4 linked regions of the Schizosaccharomyces pombe genome follow. The protein of the gene in region 4 interacts with the protein of the main gene of each other region in a biochemical or structural test. Each region holds a gene or a part of one and is shown on either strand. Other genes may lie near its edges.

Evidence for each region.
Region 1: of the proteins of wee1 (region 4) and cdc2, one has a biochemical effect on the other in vitro, tested with the Schizosaccharomyces pombe proteins (3 studies listed by BioGRID).
Region 2: of the proteins of wee1 (region 4) and cdr1, one has a biochemical effect on the other in vitro, tested with the Schizosaccharomyces pombe proteins (2 studies listed by BioGRID).
Region 3: the proteins of wee1 (region 4) and suc1 form a complex in vitro, tested with the Schizosaccharomyces pombe proteins (one study listed by BioGRID).

Annotation. Positions count from the first base shown.
Region 1 is NC_003423.3:1,498,162-1,502,595, forward strand, and holds cdc2 (cyclin-dependent protein kinase Cdk1/Cdc2), read left to right. Parts: upstream 1-2,046; 5' UTR 2,047-2,082; exon of another isoform or gene 2,083-2,124; 5' UTR 2,125-2,178; coding exon 2,179-2,215; exon of another isoform or gene 2,216-2,283; coding exon 2,284-2,452; exon of another isoform or gene 2,453-2,524; coding exon 2,525-2,825; intron 2,826-2,926; coding exon 2,927-3,232; intron 3,233-3,286; coding exon 3,287-3,367; 3' UTR 3,368-3,934; downstream 3,935-4,434. Other genes in the region: protein wwm1, read left to right, coding at 640-1,254.
Region 2 is NC_003424.3:2,678,939-2,684,373, reverse strand, and holds cdr1 (serine/threonine protein kinase (NIM1 family) Cdr1/Nim1), read left to right. Parts: upstream 1-1,966; 5' UTR 1,967-2,827; coding exon 2,828-4,609; 3' UTR 4,610-4,906; downstream 4,907-5,435. Other genes in the region: dut1 (deoxyuridine 5'-triphosphate nucleotidohydrolase), read left to right, coding at 5,325-5,435. UniProt on the Schizosaccharomyces pombe protein: This protein, a dose-dependent mitotic inducer, appears to function as a negative regulator of mitosis inhibitor wee1 by phosphorylating and inactivating it.
Region 3 is NC_003423.3:1,086,984-1,090,678, reverse strand, and holds suc1 (cyclin-dependent protein kinase regulatory subunit Suc1), read left to right. Parts: upstream 1-1,846; 5' UTR 1,847-1,900; coding exon 1,901-1,989; exon of another isoform or gene 1,990-2,104; coding exon 2,105-2,249; intron 2,250-2,300; coding exon 2,301-2,408; 3' UTR 2,409-3,141; downstream 3,142-3,695. Other genes in the region: RSC complex bromodomain subunit Rsc4, read right to left, coding at 1-1,297, 1,358-1,440, 1,489-1,491.
Region 4 is NC_003421.2:719,994-726,375, reverse strand, and holds wee1 (protein kinase Wee1), read right to left. Parts: upstream 4,573-6,382; 5' UTR 4,143-4,572; coding exon 1,509-4,142; 3' UTR 541-1,508; downstream 1-540. Other genes in the region: rsm18 (mitochondrial 37S ribosomal protein bS18m), read right to left, coding at 1-366. UniProt on the Schizosaccharomyces pombe protein: Protein kinase that acts both on serines and on tyrosines. It acts as a dosage-dependent negative regulator of entry into mitosis (G2 to M transition). Phosphorylates and inhibits cdc2.

The sequences.
Region 1 (4,434 bases), on a different chromosome or scaffold from region 4:
CAGCGTGGTGATTCAATTTTTATTCTAAGCTTTATAAAGTTTTGTTCGGCGGTTTTCAAAGTAATGTTTAAGAGTGATGAACTTATCCGCTTCTTCACTTCTTTGAGACTTTCAATTACCTGTATAATATCTGTAGATTTGTAGAAACAGCTAAGTATCGCTATATGAATATTGATTACTTACATTGCTCAAGTAGTTTCGTTATAATGTAATGTAATAGATAACAAATTTAAAAAAAAACTGCCTATAAGAATCACTGTATAGCTGAATATTAGTTTAAGAAATTAAGCATACTAGTGGCACCTTTCACCACGAATAGCTCCATGACTGCTGCTAGCATCAAACTTCTCCAACCTTCTTATCGATCTTAACCACTATAATTATCTCACCATCATACGCGGAATTTCATTTATTTGATCAATTGCTTTTTCATTTGCAAAAGGCCAACTATCTAGAAGTATTCTTTCTCTTTCCATTTGTTGTTACCATTACTTCTTGCGTACAGAGCAGATAGAAGTATTAGAATTCATTTATTTTTTGTTAACTGTCTTTTTTACCAAAAAAATTATTTTTTAAGATATTCCCTTCATTCCAAACTTTTCTCTCAATTTATACTCAACATATTTCTTAAATTCCATTATGGCTTATCAAACTCGTGAAGGTCTCCCTAATGGCTGGGTCGCTCAGTGGGATGAACGCTACAAGTGTTACTTTTATGTTAATGAAAGTGATCCCAAAGCAAAGCCGCAATGGGAATGTCCGGTCCGTGGTTTAACTATTCCACCACCTCCTTCGGTGGACCACTCTGCTCCCCCAAGTGGACCGCCTCCTTCTTATTCCAACTCAGCCGCTCCTGCCACTCCTGCCGCTTCTGCTTCTTCTGCTGCTCCTGCTCCTGCTCCCGCAGCTTCCCAAAACAGAGCATACGGGGCCGCTCCACAGCCTTATCCCCCTCAGGGCGGTTATCCTCAACAACCATATTATTATCCCAATCAACCAAATTATTACCCAGCCCAGCCTGCCTACGCACAACCCGTATATGCCCAGCCTGCTACTTCTGCAAGAAGAGGTCGTAGCGGAGTCTTGTCTAATCCCATGGTGACTGGTTTGGGCGGACTTCTTGTCGGTGGTTTGGCTATGCATGAAATGGACGAAGCTTTTGATCGTCCTGAAGAAGTTGTTTATGTAGATGATAATAACTACAACAATTTTGATGATTATGGAGGTAATGACTTTGGCAATGATTTCTTTTAAGGGAATTTCATGCATCGATTATGTTATTGAGTTCAACTGCATTATTGACAAGTGTTTCTCGCAAGAAAAATTACATTAGATGAACGATTAATACATATTTTACTGCAGAAATATAAGATCATTCATTTTACACCTGTGTGTACACGGGGATAGTTCATTAGTGTGGTTAACTCGAAAGTCTTCGTCGTAAATGAATATTGACTTATTCAATGCTGTTCCCTAGTAATAGTTATTATTTATATTAACTTTTTTTTACCTTTTCTCCTTCGCAATGCTTTTTATCTATCTGGATTTTTTTTATGACTCTGTAACTTCTGACATACACACGGATTCTGCTTGTTTTTATAAGTGTGATATTTATTTATTTATTTTTCTTTTAAATAAAAAAAAATGTTTTGTTTTCTTTGCGAGCAGGTGGAGAAGTCTTTGACAGTTTTTACAATTTCACATTTATCTTAAAGGGTTAGTCTATAAATATTAGACAACTCAGGATAATCCAACCTACCGTAAATTTATTTATTTAATAATAGCACTTTTTTGACTGATATTCACATTTACAATTTTTTAATTCACGGTTATACAATGTCTTCAGATGATGTTTTGATTATGTAGTTCTTCATATCTGATCACCTAGTATAAATTGCAAGTAATGAGTTATGTCCTACTTTTCTAATTTCATTTTTGATAACAGTATAATTCATAAGTTAGAAACATGAAGCGCTAGCCCTAAGTTCGGTTTGATAATAGTCCTCTGCGTTTCCACTAGTCTATCGCTAGTTGAGCAAGCTTACCCACAGCACAACACAACATAAGCAAATTTGTATAAACGTATTTTGAGATCATTCTCGCATCTCTATTAACAGATATTAGAAAAATTATTTTCCAAAAAACATACCGCTAGGTTGCTTCTTTTAGTGGTTTGCAATGGAGAATTATCAAAAAGTCGAAAAAATTGGGGAAGGTAGGTGTAACTGAGGAAGCTATGACTTATCCAATTTCTTTTCTGTCACGTATACTGACTAATGCTAGGAACCTATGGCGTTGTTTATAAAGCAAGACATAAATTGTCAGGGCGTATTGTGGCCATGAAAAAAATTCGCCTTGAAGATGAATCTGAGGGAGTTCCTAGCACAGCTATTCGTGAAATTTCGCTTCTTAAAGAAGTGAATGATGAGAATAATCGATCAAATTGTGTTCGGTAAGTTTTTACTTGACGGATGCATGGGAAATGTTTACATTGATAAAACTTTGTTTCTAACCCTTTTTTAAGACTTTTGGATATTTTACATGCTGAATCAAAGTTGTATCTTGTTTTTGAGTTTTTAGACATGGATTTGAAAAAATACATGGACCGAATTTCAGAAACTGGGGCCACTAGTTTAGATCCGAGACTTGTTCAAAAGTTTACCTACCAGCTAGTGAACGGTGTAAATTTTTGCCATTCTAGAAGAATCATTCATCGCGATTTAAAACCACAAAATTTGTTGATAGACAAAGAAGGCAATTTGAAGCTAGCAGATTTTGGACTTGCGAGGTCATTTGGTGTCCCTTTGCGGAACTATACGCATGAGGTATATTTTTTTTCTTACTTGGCTGTATGACTTTATTCCCAAAAAATTTGGAATATTGACTGACGGTCTTTCAGCATTAATTTGTGTCGCTAACCGTTTAGATTGTCACTTTATGGTATCGTGCTCCTGAAGTATTGTTGGGATCAAGACATTATTCCACTGGGGTTGATATTTGGAGCGTTGGATGTATTTTTGCTGAAATGATTCGACGAAGTCCATTATTTCCCGGTGACTCTGAGATCGACGAAATTTTTAAAATTTTTCAAGTTTTAGGTACCCCAAACGAAGAAGTATGGCCTGGAGTCACGCTTTTGCAAGATTACAAATCCACATTTCCTCGTTGGAAACGCATGGATTTGCATAAAGTTGTTCCCAATGGTGAAGAGGACGCTATTGAATTACTCTCTGTAAGATTTTGCATTACCATCTATTTAAGACTAATTACTAACCATTTTGTCAAGGCTATGCTTGTTTATGACCCTGCCCATCGCATTAGTGCAAAACGAGCTTTGCAACAAAATTATCTTCGTGATTTTCATTAATTTTCGTCTCTTATTATTAAACCTTTAAAAACGCTATCCTTGACTTTATCTGTACTTTGCTGTGTTTCTTGATATCAGTTATTAACAAATTACCTCAATTTATAAACCGAAAATATTTATTTTCCTCCTTCTTTTTCGAATCTTGGCGTTTGTTCAAAACATACTCAAACAATGGGCAATTTACAGGGCATATAAAAAACACTGACATATTGAGCTTGCCATTAAATGTGAATTTAGTAACGTTTTTAGTTCTGTTCCCTTTACTGTGTCTTTATTGTAAATATCACTTTAAATGCTTTCTTTGACTGTCAAGGGAATTATCGCCGTTCTTTTTACAAAAGCAGGCTCTGAGTGTTTAAATCTATTTTTCTTTCATTCCTGATAAAACTGAAGCCTTTTAATCTCCCTTTTTCTTACTTACTCTTATCCTTTGTTTTCCAGTTTTTTAATCCTCATTTATACTATATTCTATTTACATATTTTTTATACTTAAGTATTAAAAAAGGTGTATATTCTTTAGACTTTAGTTTTTAGTGTTCGTGTTTGCTCTGAACATATAAACTGCACTTACTTAGATGTATTTAGTATCAAAGAGGTGAATTAATTTTACGAGCAAACGGTAAAAGAACGTAAATGTGCTTATTGTTCAACAGACATACGTGTTTATTAAATTTTACAAGATGAAAGTGATATGAATATTTGTATTTCACACTATATTGAACGCTAAGCGAGCATCATTTACAGCTTAAGTCTATACCTAGAGCGTTTGGAAAAATTCAAAATTAATAAATCGTATAAACAAGAAGTAAAACTAAACAGCGCAGGAGAAACCACTAGATGCATGGATACATACTAACGATTGAACCTGGCAAAGTGTAATTGGACAGAATGAAACGAGACATATTGGAAATATAACGTCTAAAGATGAAACGCAGGACAAATTTGTTTGGAGGCTTGAGAGGAATGAAAAGGGAGCAAATACATGGAGGGAAGAGCATTTCCATTAAACTGCGCATGCACATTTTACTTTCCATGCTTTAATCATAGAAAAAGGTAACCAATTAAAT
Region 2 (5,435 bases), on a different chromosome or scaffold from region 4:
TATAGAAATTACGAAACATCTTGAAAAAACGTCAACGAATGCATCAACAAGATCTTAGCATGTTTCGGATATGTCATGGTAAAGTTCGATTGCTTTGTGCATCTCCGTTAGCAGCTGCATCAAGCGAGTATCCAACGATGATCATCTCGATTCGTTTTGTGTGTTCATGAAACCCACGCCTTGCGTATGAAGTTGCCCACTTTGTATGACAATGAGATAATCTTACACTGCAATAAGGCCATATACCCGTAGTTGTTGGTACGACCACTCACATTCCAAAGTCCAACTCAATAGTGAAGAAATTCATCATTGGCAACAAGTCATCAACACTTCGTTGCTGTTGGACACTTCTACCAAACGTTCTTTATTGACAACTTTGAACGGCTTCGGCTGCATTCCCGAGCCCTGTAACGCCTATCTTTCATGTGGCTCGGAATGTAAACCAGAAACTCAGACAAATACCGCTGTTGGATCGCACTGATGATATTTGTTTATCGAGGCTGTGTTCATTTTTCTTAGTCATTTTAGCGTAACGAACTGACACCGAAAAATATCAAGCAATCAAGTAGATCCATCTGTCCAAGCACCAACCACATCTTTGCTCGATAATCAAACTTGGATTACCGATAGTTAAAGGTGAAGGATCGGTTTTGCTGGTTTCATTCGATTTTCCAAACATCGTCGATTCAGTAGACTGGGGTTGAGTCAGTATCCAAGCCATTCTTGCGCTCAATTGATAATTATGGTAGGTTACCCAAATGTTGTATGCCAACTGTATTACTTACCCGTGGTTATATTTTGAAAACAGCGAAACTGTGTAAACAATTTCTGTTTGTTTCTCAATTGTTTGTGGCGTACACGTATTGCAGCTCTCAAGTTGCTATAGTATATTTTTATTGTCTAATAAAAATTTAATGAATTTATTTAGTTGAAATATTTGCAGTAAGAATGTTCATGTTGATATACCATGTAAAAAAGTCACATAAAGTTGAGCAAGCTGAAAAAGAATAAGTTTTCGCCTCCAAATATAAAAATTTCAATTAAATTGTAGAAAATTATAGATTCTTTATAATATCGTAATTTCTTAAGCGGGGCCTATAGTCTTTCATCAACTTTTCACGACAGTCGTTGTTATTCATACCATAGGATGAAGACGATTTCAAACATCCAATATTCGCTTATAATGATGAAATGAACTTCAGTAACCCGTTCAATACATTCATTATATACTGAGATTTCATCTATTATTGAAGCAAGTTTCAATGTTTGGCATGAAGCCGGCTCTAACACTTGTCAGATTTCAAGTACCTGTTTTCATTATTTTTTTTGCTCAAATTTTCAAAAAAAGTGTAATGGCATGTGTTATCAGATATGGTATGCATCATGTCCCTGGTTATCCCCGAAGTAGAACGGGTTCTTGACCGTGCTACCAAGTCGTGTTACTTTTCGATGAAAAACTGGAATTCCCTGCTAAAACTACACGAGTAAAACAAGAAAAAATATTCATCTATTGCAATAACTTGCTCCTAGATTGCCAAAACGAGTACTACGTAAACAAATGTGAAAGAAGCAGAAAAGACTGCTAAAGTTGCTTTTAACGAAAATGTAAATAAGAGAAGAAAAGACAACTTTAACGGTTCGATTTTACTACAATATGAATATTAATTAAACTTCATAAAGCGAAACTGAAAAACTAAATAAAATTTGCTCTACAGCTATAAATCAGCTGTTAATATTCAAGTTTTTATCAAGACAGCACTATGAGCCTGAGATTACCACCCTCAAGGACTAGAAACCAAGTAGTGGATTGCTTCCGTTCCTTAAGTCATCCTATCGTGATCCGCCGAAATAATCGTAAGCCTTCAATACACTCTTCATATGTTCCCTGATCAAGTCCAAGTAGTGCCCCACCCTTCCCTACTCTTGAACACTTATATCCGCTCCTCCAGCATTCATGTTGTCCTCTGCCAAACTTATCTTGGCCAATTCCGTCTTTTGGACTACTCTGCATAAGAACTCAGCATTGTTTTCGATTTTAGGAATTGCTGGGATCCTGTTTGTATTAATATTGTAGATCGATATTTTGAAACATCTGTAGGCCTTCTATATAGTGGGTTGTTCTACATATTATTTATTTATTCATTCATCTTTCTTTGTTTTACTTACTGTTCTCCATATTTTTATCTGATTATACAGGGTTTGAATTAAAATCCGTTAGTTTATTTTATTCTACCTTTTTCAACTATTTGACCGCCCCAATATTTCCATTTTTACTTTCTCCTTTCTTGTTTCTTCTCTCTTTTAATTTATGAAAGTTCAATCCTTATTCGAATATCATTAACTTAACCTTTATTGGATTTATACATCACGAATCTTATACACTTTACATACTTTCTTTATTTTACGCTCCCCTTCGTTTCTTTTTCTTTGTCTTTACCTTTTTTTATTGCTGTTACTCAAAACGTCTTGTAACTTACATTTGTTATTTGTGTTCTTGTGCTACTTCCCATTTTTTTTTCAAGGTCCGTCTATTTCCGTTCCACGTTTCACTTTTCTGTTCTACAATACACTCAGAAAAGTGCTTTAGGTTATTTATGAGGCACTCTTATTTTATTAATTCGTTTCCAGTATCTATTTTGTGATCACACCCTATTTTGTATCGTGGTGTCATTCACTTTTTCCTTTACTTATTCCAAATTTCATGCTACTTTTTCGACATTTATTCTACTTTTCATCATAAGTATTTCAGATTTTCTGAAGTTGCTATTATTCAGTCTGCAATTTTACTTTTGGAAAGCCTTTTCCCTTAATAAAAGGTTAGATTTGAATGGTGAAGCGACACAAAAATACTATTGGCGTATGGCGTCTTGGGAAGACTTTAGGGACTGGTTCCACTAGCTGTGTGCGTCTTGCCAAGCATGCTAAAACTGGTGATTTGGCTGCCATCAAAATTATCCCTATTCGATATGCCTCCATAGGAATGGAAATCTTAATGATGCGTTTGTTGCGCCATCCTAATATTCTTCGACTATACGATGTTTGGACCGATCATCAGCATATGTACTTAGCACTCGAGTACGTCCCTGATGGTGAGCTTTTTCACTATATACGCAAACATGGACCTTTGAGCGAAAGAGAGGCTGCGCATTATCTTTCCCAAATTCTTGATGCTGTAGCGCATTGTCATCGCTTTCGCTTTCGCCATCGGGATTTAAAACTTGAGAATATTCTCATCAAGGTAAATGAGCAACAAATTAAAATAGCTGATTTTGGCATGGCCACTGTTGAACCAAATGACTCTTGTCTTGAGAATTATTGCGGCTCTTTACATTATTTGGCTCCCGAAATTGTATCTCACAAACCATATCGTGGAGCTCCTGCTGATGTTTGGTCTTGTGGTGTCATCTTGTATTCATTGTTGTCGAATAAGCTCCCCTTTGGTGGTCAAAACACAGATGTTATTTATAATAAGATTCGCCATGGCGCATATGATCTTCCTTCTTCAATTTCTTCGGCTGCGCAAGATTTGTTACACAGAATGCTAGATGTAAATCCAAGCACGCGTATAACAATTCCGGAAGTTTTTTCTCATCCATTTCTAATGGGCTGTACATCATTGAGCTCTATGGATAGCACTACCCCTCCTACCCCTTCACTGTCAATTGACGAAATTGATCCATTAGTAGTTGATTGCATGTGTGTGCTTTGGAAAAAATCATCCTCTAAAAAAGTCGTTCGTCGTCTTCAACAGCGAGATGATAACGACGAAAAATATGTGTATAAAGTTTTATCCGAGATTTTGCGCGATGATATGTTGAAAAAACAACGTTTTGATGAAAATAAATATCTCAGTCTTTACGATTTAATTCACGACAATAATCTTTTCACCAAAGCTTCTATTTCAACAACATCGTTAGTAAAATCCAATGTTTCGACAAACTCTCGCAAAAGTAGTAATTTTGAAGATGAACTTGCTAGAAGAGTTTCTAGTCCGCTTTCAGCCTTAAATCAAATGTCTCAATCTCCAATACCGATCAGGGTGTCTTCTGACAAGGATTATGACAGCTATGCCTGTCATGAAGTAGTTTCAAACCCATCGACTTTGGATGATGACTATAATTATATGTTTGTTTGTCCACCAGAAGAGTATACTTATTCAACTGATAATGTTAGAACTGATTCTCTGGACTTACAATCTCTCCCCACTCCTACCCTTGAGCAATTAGAATCCGTACCATTCAATCGGTATGGCTATGTCCGCATCTTTCCTAGCACCACTCTGTCTAGCACAGCCAGTGGCTACTACACTCCTGATTCACTTTCAACTCCTGAACCATCAATAGATGGGCTAACCAATTTGGACGATGTCCAGGTTGGAGGCTTTGTTCAAGGATCAGGCAATCAAAATAGACGTCCCATATCTTTTCCTGTAATCAGTAATATGCAGCCGAACATAACTAATGTGAGATCTGCTTCTGCTCCTTTATGTTCATCTCCAGTTCCAAGTCGGAGATATTCTCAATATGCTACTAATGCAAGATATACTCCCAGAAAAGTTTCTTCCGGTTCTGTATTACGAAAGATTTCTTCATTCTTTCGGAAGGATTAAATAGGAATTTTTTCAAAAACACAGTCTTCTTCCTCAAAATCAACCATTAATGTCTATACTGTGGGCGGCTATTCAAATGTTAAGATCTGTTTATAATTTAATGAGGATGATAATTATTTTTTTTGGATCTCCCGTCGTGTGTACCTGTACCTTTCTACGAATTTAATGATCTTTTTTGGCAATTGGACCTTTGAGTCTATTAGCAATTTAATGGTTTTAGGGTTTTACGTTATATATCTGTTAATGATTTGGGCACACTAGTTTATATATGTAACTAATGAATATCTTCTATTACAATCGCTTTCCAGAAATCAGTAGTCTGTATAAAGTAAAATTTTGTTGTGAACATTAGTTTTATATGAAATTTGGGTGTTTTTATGTAATAACGTCTGTTGGTTTTTGAAAATTGTCGAATATTCCGGAGTGTTTAGTAATAAAATTGAGGTTTAAGAGTTATCGCAATAAATAAAATATGAAGAAATAATTCCTATAAACGTTTACCTCTTTAGAAAGTTTTTATACACTGTCTACGTTTATATATTAGGTATGTTGTACGGTGTATATCTTGACTAAATGTAAACAAACGCGACGCGCCGTCAACCGCAACGTGTCGCGTAACTTCAAATTTATATGCAACGCCAGTATCTATTGCAAACACTCATTCCCAATCAAGAATTCTATTGTCTGTGAAATTACACAGTTTTATAGTTTAAACATGAGTTTTTTCGTTCAAAAACTTTCTGAAAAAGCAACCATTCCTACTAAAGGCTCTGCAAATTCTGCTGGATATGATTTGTACGCGGCTGCTGAATGTATAGTTCCAAGA
Region 3 (3,695 bases), on a different chromosome or scaffold from region 4:
ACGCTTTCCATTTAATAATGTGATTATGGTGTATGATTTCAATGCCAGAGCAGGATTTAAGTTAATAACAATATTAAGAAACGAATGCTGAGGGGCCAAGGTAATCACTGAAACTTCCGTAGAATTTAAGCTTGGGCAAGGCAAATACATACGAAGGGGATTCGGCAATGGTAATTGTGGAGGACTGCAAATAAATGCAGAAAGAATGCAACGTTCAGTATTAGGTATGTCTTCAAAAAATTTGGGTTCTGGAAAATTTGGCATATTAAAAGTACTACGACCCATCACCGATTTATGAGAGAAATTTAAAAAATCCGGAACAGGAGTTGAAGGAAACGATTTAATAAGGGCAAATGCTCCGTAATTAGCTTGAGATAATGTATCCATGGGTGATGGAACATCTTCGGGTATGGGAGTTTGGTCCTTTTCAGATTCTTTTGAGAAACTTTCAACATGAGCCTCCTCTGACTTCAAAACATCTGGAGTGGCTGCCTGATCACTGGTTATAAAAGATGGGGCGACTGAAGTAGAACGTTCGCGTGAAGTTGAAGCAGATACAGAAGGAGTTGGAGATGCGGGGGTTTCCTCGGGTTCATGCTTTGAAGTTGCAGGAGAGTGTTCCTTAGGTTGTTCGGAAAATGAAGAAATAAGGGAAGATGAAAGTTGAGAAAGCTTTTCAGCATCTTCATAGACAAAACTTCCGGGGGCGTTATACGTTTTGGCGTTAATAAACATTTGATTTAAGTCTTTTACAAAGCTTTCCAAAGTCGTATACTCTCCCTTTTTAAACCTTTTTTCCAACATTTTTATAGTCATAGGGGATTTGATAATTTCATAGTAATCCGGGTACAAACGTTTGCTAGGAAGGTCTATAAATATATCAATTAAAAAACGACCTTGTTCATCCTTTTCTTCATGTAAGGCATCTAAGATATTTTGAATAACCTTTGGAACATCAATCTCATTAGTGCCAGGTTTGTGTTCCTCGTTGATGCTTGACTCCATTTCCTCATTCTCTTCCTCATTCAAAGTTCCATCCTTGCTTTCTAATGAATTAGCAGTATTTGCAATAAGCACAGAACATTCATAGACGAGGCTTCCAGGCATATTGTAAGTCTGCGCATTGCTAACCATAAGCCGAATATCATCGTAAAAGTCACCCATTGACAGATATTTACCAGTCTTCGCCTTGTTGCGCATCATCTTGTAGCAAATCGGCTTTTGAATGATTTGATAGTAATCTGGAAAATATCGTTTGGAAGGAAGTTCTTCAAAAATGTCATCAAATGGATTACCTCTATTTTAAATAAATTATTAGTAAATGGACATGCGACACCTAACTCCTTTCAATACATACTCGTTGTCCTTTAAACCCACCAATGCTTCTAAAACTTCATCAAACTTGGTCTTATCGAATGGGGCATTATGACTATCATCAACCTATAAATATTAGTATGTTGTAACAAAACACGGGACATGAGAATATACCATTTTAAATAATTTATTATATTGCAACGTTTATGTACAATGAATAGAGTATATCAACTTTAATTAGGTCCGCTTGCGACTGTATATTCCAAAATAATACACAATTTTTCGAATTACAATAAGAAACCGTTCACTTTATAAACTGAATTTTGGGAATTATTATATAGACCAAAAAGGCTTTGAAAAAGAAATAGCTAGCGCAAAAAACCTGTTTTCTGCAACCGATAACTTTCGTTTTAGGTATAGAGTGTTGAGTTGAAGCCCAAAGTTGTGTGTTACCTAAAGTGAGTACTGTTACTTTAAGTCTAAAACGAAATTTAGCGACCTTTAACGGATCACCCAAGTCCTAGAGTATCCTATACTTTACCCATCTCAAAGAAAAGTTATTCTTTTTGAGTATTAAGGAGGAGATATGTCGAAAAGTGGTGTGCCACGTCTTTTAACTGCTTCTGAGCGTGAACGTCTAGAGCCATTCATTGATCAAATCCATTATTCTCCTAGGTATGATGATATTGTTAAAGAAACTGCCATACTTTGGGAATTCTCTAGGTTCTTTGTTTTCCCCTAAAACGAGACTCTTGTATCTTATTTGAGCAAATGCTAATCGATGAAATAGATATGCTGATGATGAATATGAATATCGACATGTTATGTTACCAAAAGCAATGCTAAAAGCGATACCCACCGATTATTTCAATCCAGAGACTGGAACGCTTCGAATCCTTCAAGAAGAAGAATGGAGAGGACTTGGAATTACTCAAGTAAGTAATCAAGGATTTTAACTGCTCAAAAACAAACTGACATTTATTTAGAGTCTGGGATGGGAAATGTATGAAGTCCATGTCCCAGAGCCACACATCCTGCTATTTAAGCGTGAAAAAGATTATCAAATGAAATTTAGTCAACAACGGGGTGGTTAAGTTTGTCAACTCCAACGTTTCTGTTTTACTTTATCAAAAAAATATTAGTTCATGGATGCGAAACATATTGACTTTTTAGGCATTCAATACGCTGCTTTTTTTTATCAAGCTCACTGAGTGTTTCATGTGGGAGTCGCTAAAAATGATAATGAATTATCTTCGCCATTTATGTTTGCTACAGACTAACAACATATTTGGGCAATTCCTACTTTTTTTTCACTGTAGATATACTTTACTGGTTCTTTTTATTTTCTTTCAAAATCATCTTTCTATTTTCTTTTATCTTTATTTTTTATCGTTTATCGTTTAATATAGAATCTCTGTCTTTTCATTCACGTTAGCATAGAGTTTGATCAACCACAAACTAGTTTTTTACATTCCTCCTTTAGAAGTTTAAAGCACTCCTACTGGTTCCTGCTCACCTTCAAACCATTCCGTCTCAAAGACGATTGATTCCTAGATGTTTGCAATTGATGAATCCCTATCGGTTAAGTCAGACTTTACAATGCACATTTTTCTCTAAAAAATGTGAAAACGTACGTTATCATTAAGTGATATTTTGTATATTAGGCTAGAACATTTTGCGTTTCATGCCACTGATTCAGTTGCCTTTTATTCAAAAATGTTGTCAAACTTTACAAAATTTTAGTAAGAAACTCACTTATAGTACTTAACAAAAATTTCCGAAAAAAACTTACTTTTATTTATAAATTCCGTAGTTATGTAGTTTAACATTACCTTTGTTCAAACTAGCTGTGATTAGCTTGTTTAAAATCTTCATATACTTATAATAACAACGTAAAAAATGTCTCATGACTCCATTTGTTTACAATCAGCGAAGATAATCAATACATTTTTGCAATGCCAAGTGTTTTATTAAGAAAAACATGGAGATACATCTGTAGTAATTGTGACTCATATTTCCAACTGTTAATCTATTGCGTCAGGTGCTTCCATTCTTTAATTTCCACATGTATTACTCAATTTAGTTCTAAAACAATACAATACTAGGACTCCTCTGTCATCTTAACAAATTTGCTTGATCAGCCCATATTAGCTATCACAAATGGCTACTCAGTTAAGTTGCGCACACTTACATGCTTTACAAAAACCTCTTCAACATTCTCTACATGAAAAATACTTACGATAAAAAGATGGACGTAAATTTATTAAGAACAAAAGGTAAGCTTAATCTGAACGTTTTCAATGAATTACGGTTCAAATGGTATAAAGGTAAAAAGTTAAGCTAAATAGACAAGAAATATCGTTGACTTCAGCGCTTATATT
Region 4 (6,382 bases):
TTCAGTAACGAATCTTGACAATATTACGGGGTTTTTCCAATAATTCATAGGGTTTTCGTTCACCGTCTTAAAGCAATCTTCTCTTACTGGTTCATAGAATTTGGCTTGATTTTTCGCCTTTACCGTTTCAAACAGTAAATCATTGGGAGAGTAAATATCACCTTCTTCTACGGAGGCTGATAAATATGATGGAATATTTGAGCGAACTCTTCTCTGAAATCCTACATTTGAAGATGCTTCAGAATTTCTCTCATTAAATTTTCGATTGTCCGAAAACCCTCTTCGCGTAGAGTTATTAGATTGTATGAGATTGCATAAAATAAATCCTCTGTTTGGAGCTGGAGAAAATATTCGTCTCCCAAGCATTTTTCTCCCGTGCTGTTGTCAAAGTAATATTTCAATGTTTGAAGGTGTTTAGTGAAATAATGAGACACTCGTTAAATAGTTTATAGCTTATGCTTGTGTCTGATAAATGAAAACGTGATGATACCTGAATTTTCTAACTTTTCTGTTTCAAAATAAATGTTTATTTAGATATGAAGTGTTAAACGGGTCATTAAAATCCTATACTAATTTGAAGGCATCACAAACTTGAGCATATACACAGCTTTCACAAGCATAAAAAAAAAGGGAAATTAAAAATTACAGAAGTGGAACTAAGCATAACGTTAACATTATTACTAATTATTATATGATATGATAATAATAAAAAATCTAACGGGTTATTAAACTTCGTTAGTAAATCGTGGCATTTTCCATAAACATAACCAATTATTTGCCATTCAGCAAGATCGTAAACTATGTACAAGAATAATAGGCAGTGTCATCGATCGATCTAAATTATTATGAAAACAGAAGTCAAAAAAAAGTGGATAAACAGTCGGGATTCGAACTTTATGCTAGCAAAGATGAGTAAATGCAACATATCAAGTCGATAACAAACGAGTGACATAAGAAATTAGACAATAAAATAGATGAAAAATAGGAATAATAACTCCTCTGAAGCCGAGTCTACATGTTAGAGAAAGGATTTGCGATATAAAAAACAATCGTTCACTAACATTTTTTCAGTAGACAAAGCACGTACAGTATGTGCGGCGTCAAGGCTTTAAATTAAGGAAACATTCTAGTTCCCCATATCAAGAACTGAATGGCATGTTTCCATAGCCATCATCATATTGCCTCAGATATAATTAACCGGATATTTGACTGAAGAAAACCAAATAGATAATCCGGTGAAAAGGCAAAAAATTAAATAGAAAAACTATCATCTAATAATTTTTTAAAATTTTTTAAAATTTAAGGGTTCGGTTAAAACGGACACGTATCCTTAAATAAAAAAAAAGCATTTAATGAACCAAAATTAATTATAAGCACCAATCACTAAACTTTTCGTTTAAAAATAATTAAAGTGTTTGCTTTTATGAAGCTAAACAGATTTTGGAAGCCATTCCCTTATTTCGCAATTTCGCAGTAATAAACATTGAGAACAAGAGTCTCTAAAAGGTTTAAACATTCACCTGCCAATCTTCCATCATTTGATCACCCTGGGGGTTAGAAGAAGATCCATGAATACCTTCATAAATTATGGCTCCGGCTTTTCTACGCATTTCAACCCAGCAAACCTCATCAGTTGCCAAAATTTGATCTATGGTAGGTCGGTTCCTAGGCTCTGGAGATAGCATCCACTCTACAACGCGATCAAGTCCCCCTTGGCCTATTATACTATTAGCCGGTGTTTCACGAGAAGAAGAAGTAAGAGATGAACCGTTGTCTGTTGAAGAAAGTCGAGGAGCATCTGATAAGTCACCGGAACGTAATTTCTGCCAAGACTGACCGTTATCAGGAAGAACAATGTTAGCAGCAGCTTCGAAGACTGTGATACCCAAACTGAAAATATCAGCAGGTTTATCATACAAATGGTTAGCAAGAACCTCAGGCGCAATGTATTCACAATCACCTTCTCTTTCCATGCCTCTCGGAACAGGCCAAACACTGGCCATTCCAAAATCACCAATCTTCAAGGTACCCTCGAATGTTATCATAACATTAGCAGGCTTTAAATCCAAATGAACATAATTTTTATGATGAATAAACTGTAGCCCAAGAGCTACTTCTACTAATATTTTCCATACCCTAAATTCATCGAGCCTTGAAAGTTGTCCTTGCTCTTCAAGAAAACGATCCAAACTACCATTTTCACACAATTCGACTTGCATATAAAGAAACCCCCCATGTTCCCATGAGTCCATAAGCTCTACAATGTGATCATGGCCTTTAAGGGCTCGTTGAATAGAGACTTCCTGAAGTAGTCGATTACGTTCTTTTGGTCCACTAAACTTTACCTTGAGCTTTTTCACTGCATACTTTAAAGTTTTTTCCACAGGGTCTTCAACTTGAAAAACCTCACTAAACTCTCCACTTCCTAGTAAAGTAACATTTCTAAACCGTGTAAGCAAATGTGAAGTAGATGATGATACTTTGGACGAGGTGAGAGCAGAAGGAAAGGATAATGTAAAGCTTGAAGAAGAGGGTTGAGATACATCAGCTTCTTCCTCCATGGCAAATGACATTTGATTATTATTTCTCGATTTGATAGGCGAAGGTTGCCGACCGTCCATGTGAATGGAAACAGTATTTTCAAACGCAAATGGGTTACGAGTAGGCGTAGCGGGACACCTCTGATTAGATAGAAATGGTAATCCATAGTTGTGAGAAGTTTTTACAGCAGAAGGAGGAGGATCGAACCTCAAAAAGTCCATGGAACTTTTCTCCAACTGAATAGTAGGAATGGAATTGTGATTTGTAGGAGTGTTTTCCCGTTGAATAAAATAAGAGTCGGTTTGTGTATTGGAAGGAGTCGAGGGTGATGGAGGCGAATCTGTGGAGGAAGAATGTGGACGAACAAAGGTAGAGGGTTTTGAAGGAGTACTAGGAGGGAGAGGTGTAAAGTTAATATTCTTTCGCGGACGATGTTGCTTGGATAAAAGACCTGTACTCATAAAAACTTGGGAAGGAGGTTTGATTTGTTGAAAGGGAGTAGTTAACAACTCAGATGAGGGTGGGTTAGGTAGAGTAGCATTGGGGAAAAGGGAGAATGAATTAGAAGAGGAGTTAACCATACTGTTATCAGAAAAGAGGGAAGATTCATTTTGTTGGGTTTGAGGATGTGAGCGATTAGAAGGGATGAAACTTTTCATCATAAATGATGCATCCTTAGAGCTATTTCGTGAATGGTTGTTAGATACGGCAGACTTAGTTTGGCTGGAGGCAAACCCAAGCTTGCGTGCAGTAAGTGGACGAGCGGTAGGAGAAAACAAAGAGGATTGAGCGGAGTTAGAAGGGAAATGATTAGAGGTAGTGTGTCGAGAGGATGGTATGGACGAAAAAAGGGTAGAAGGATTAGCATTATTTGAATTAGGAGGAGCGGGTGTGGAAGTCGATAAAAAATTAGGCGATGAAGTTGCAAAAGGAGAGAAGGAGCCCGATGCAAATGGAGAGATGTGGGAATTTGAGATACGAAAAGAATCAAAATTGTTTTTCTTTCGCAGCTTCTGAGCAGGAGTAGAAGGAGGTATGTGTTGAGAGCTTTGAAGGAAGGGAGATGGAGAGTGGGAAGGAGGGGACATTGCACCGTTTGACATGGAGGAAGAAAAGAAACTTCGTTTTACACCAGTAGATGCATTTTTATGAATGGGAAACGCACGAACGTCTGAGGGTGAAGGGGCAGTATGGTGGATGGGATTAGCCACCTGGGCAACAGGAGAAAGAGATGGAGAATCACCTAACCGAGAGGAAGAGCGTGATACCAGATTGGGTCTATCAAAAAGGGAAGGCCGCCGAGGTACAGGTTGTGCCTGTATCTGGGGTTGTGAATGTGTAAAAGAAGGAGGAGAAAGAGGGTGAAGAGGGGCGGCATGAGAGAAGGAAGGGGAGGAAGTGGTCTGTTTGCGAGGACCGAATAAGCTAGTGAAAGAGGTATTTGGCTTTTGCGAAGAGGTAGATGAAGTAGAATTGTTAGCATCATACAGGCTCGATGGAGTTGGAGGAGCGAGCAAAGTAGCACGATTTAGATTCATGGAGCGTTGGGACCGCCGTAAGCCATAAGATCTATGACTGCTGGTATTAGAAGAAGAGCTCATGTTTTCTGTATGGAAAATGTGGCAATTTAACAAAAAAATAGATATGAAATTTTTGATTTAATTAAATTGAATTGGAATGCAAACGGAACAGATGTACGAACGAACAATCGATAAACGAGGGAAGTGCGAAGCAACTAGGATTTCGTAGGTAAAGCGTAATGCACAGTTGTAAATGGAATAAAGAAAAGGGAGAAAACAAAATGAAAAAGAAAATTCCAACCGATATTCTGAAGGCCTACCACCTCAACAAAAGAGAAGAAATTGAGCCAATGCTCGTAATATTGTCAAAACGAAGGAGAAACGTCAAAAAAAGAGAAATGTTTAATAAATTAAAAATAAATAAGAAGAAAACAAAGGCAAGAGAGCAAAAAAGCTCTCGTTTGCTTCAACGAATTATGTCTATTAATAAGTAAAGTGGTATGTTGAGGTTACGACGAAGATATTGCACCCACCTACTTTTACTAGTACAAAGGGGGGGTTCAAAGCCGCTATAGCCTTAAAGTGTCCAATCCGGTATTAGGGTATGCGTTCCACTCCAGTATTCCTTTAAAGCTGAGTGAGTGAAATTAAGCGATAGCTTATTGTGGAGCACTGAGCCGAGACGTTCCCTAGAAGAAGCCAAAAACAACGAAAAAAGGTTAGCAAACACGGAAGGAAAACAAAGAAACGGAACCACAAAATTTTCAGCAAATTGAACGTCTAAAGCCTATAAAGAAAGAAGCAGATAAGGACGCTTAACAGCTGATTAAAAGGGAGGGGAAACTATTTTTCATAAATAAGGAGAGAATGCGAAAATCACGTCGGAAGGCCGGGTTGAAGGAGGAAGTATTATACCGAAACTGGGCAAAAAATCGTAATTCGTTGGTTAGTGATATTGCTTTCTCCTAGCTAAATATGTATAGTACAGCGTAGTGTAGTGTAGTGTAAGGTAGTTTTGGGATCAGAGCAGCGAGAAGTAGTGAGAGTTGGTGGTGAAAAAAATGTAAACAGAAACAGGAAACGAGTGGATGAGCCGAAACTACGAGTTTTTGAAGGAGATGGTTTTAATGAATGTCCCTTTTTCTTCTTCGCTGCTACAAAAGAAAAAAAAATGGGGAAAAGACAAGAAATATGAATAAGAATGGAAGTAGCTTACTTTTCCGATGGAAGGGAAATGTACCAAAGTAATGACGAAAAGGTCACACACTGGAGACTAACTAGAAGCGGTAAGTGCACGTTAGTATGTCGATCTGTCCATATATATAAAGTAAATAATCAAAGGAAAGATGTAAAATTGGAAATAAATGAGAAAGAAAAGATATGGAAATACGATCCCTAAAATAACATGCAAAAAACAGAAACGGTTCAGATGAATTCAGGCACTTGGCATGGTGAGTGGTGGAAAGAAAGACAGTGTGATGTTGATGAATGAAGGAATAACCAGTAAACAAATGAGAGATCCCGTTAGCGACGGAGACAAAAAAGCGGAAGGAAAACGAAGAGATGAAAAGAGGTGGTGTGAATGGTTTAGCCTGGATTTTGATTTAAAGGAGATGGTAAAAAAAAAAAAATTGTGGAATTAATGTTATTGTTGTTTTAGTAAAAGTAGTGGTGGGTCAATAGAAATAAAATTGGTTTCACTTTGCAAAATGACAATACAATAAAAGTCGTTTAAAAAAAAAAAAAAAAAAAAAAGGGAGAAAAATCACCTTTTAGTCTTTACATGATTCTTCTATTATCTATCGATTCGAACATTTAAGGGTTGCATGGGATAAAGCAGTGCTAGTGTTAAAAGGTAAATAGAAAAAGAGAAGAGAGAAAAGGAATGCAAAAAATTAACAGGGAAGGAAAAAAAGTGCCTCTAAGCATTCAAAAGAGAAGCTAAAATTAAAATAATAAACATGAAATGACTTAAAGAATGATAATTAAAGTTGTTTTATATATCAACGAATATTCTTTTTTCTTGAACATTAGGAAATTGTGTTAGGATTCAGATATCGAAAGGTATGGAAAAAAAAAGGGGGAGACGATAGGAGCAGAAGAAAGTGAAAGGGGGGCAAAGAAGTAAAAAGACAAGAATTAAAAATATTCGGATTTGCAAAAAAAGGAAAAGTCAAGTGTTCTTTTTTTAGAATCCAAACCATCCAAAGTGGAACATTTTAAGAAAGTACAGTGAGAATAATGGTAAATCAGATAGGCGAAGTATCATAGAATTTGTTAGTTACAATGAATGAAACAATCAATAGATAGAGGGAATGATT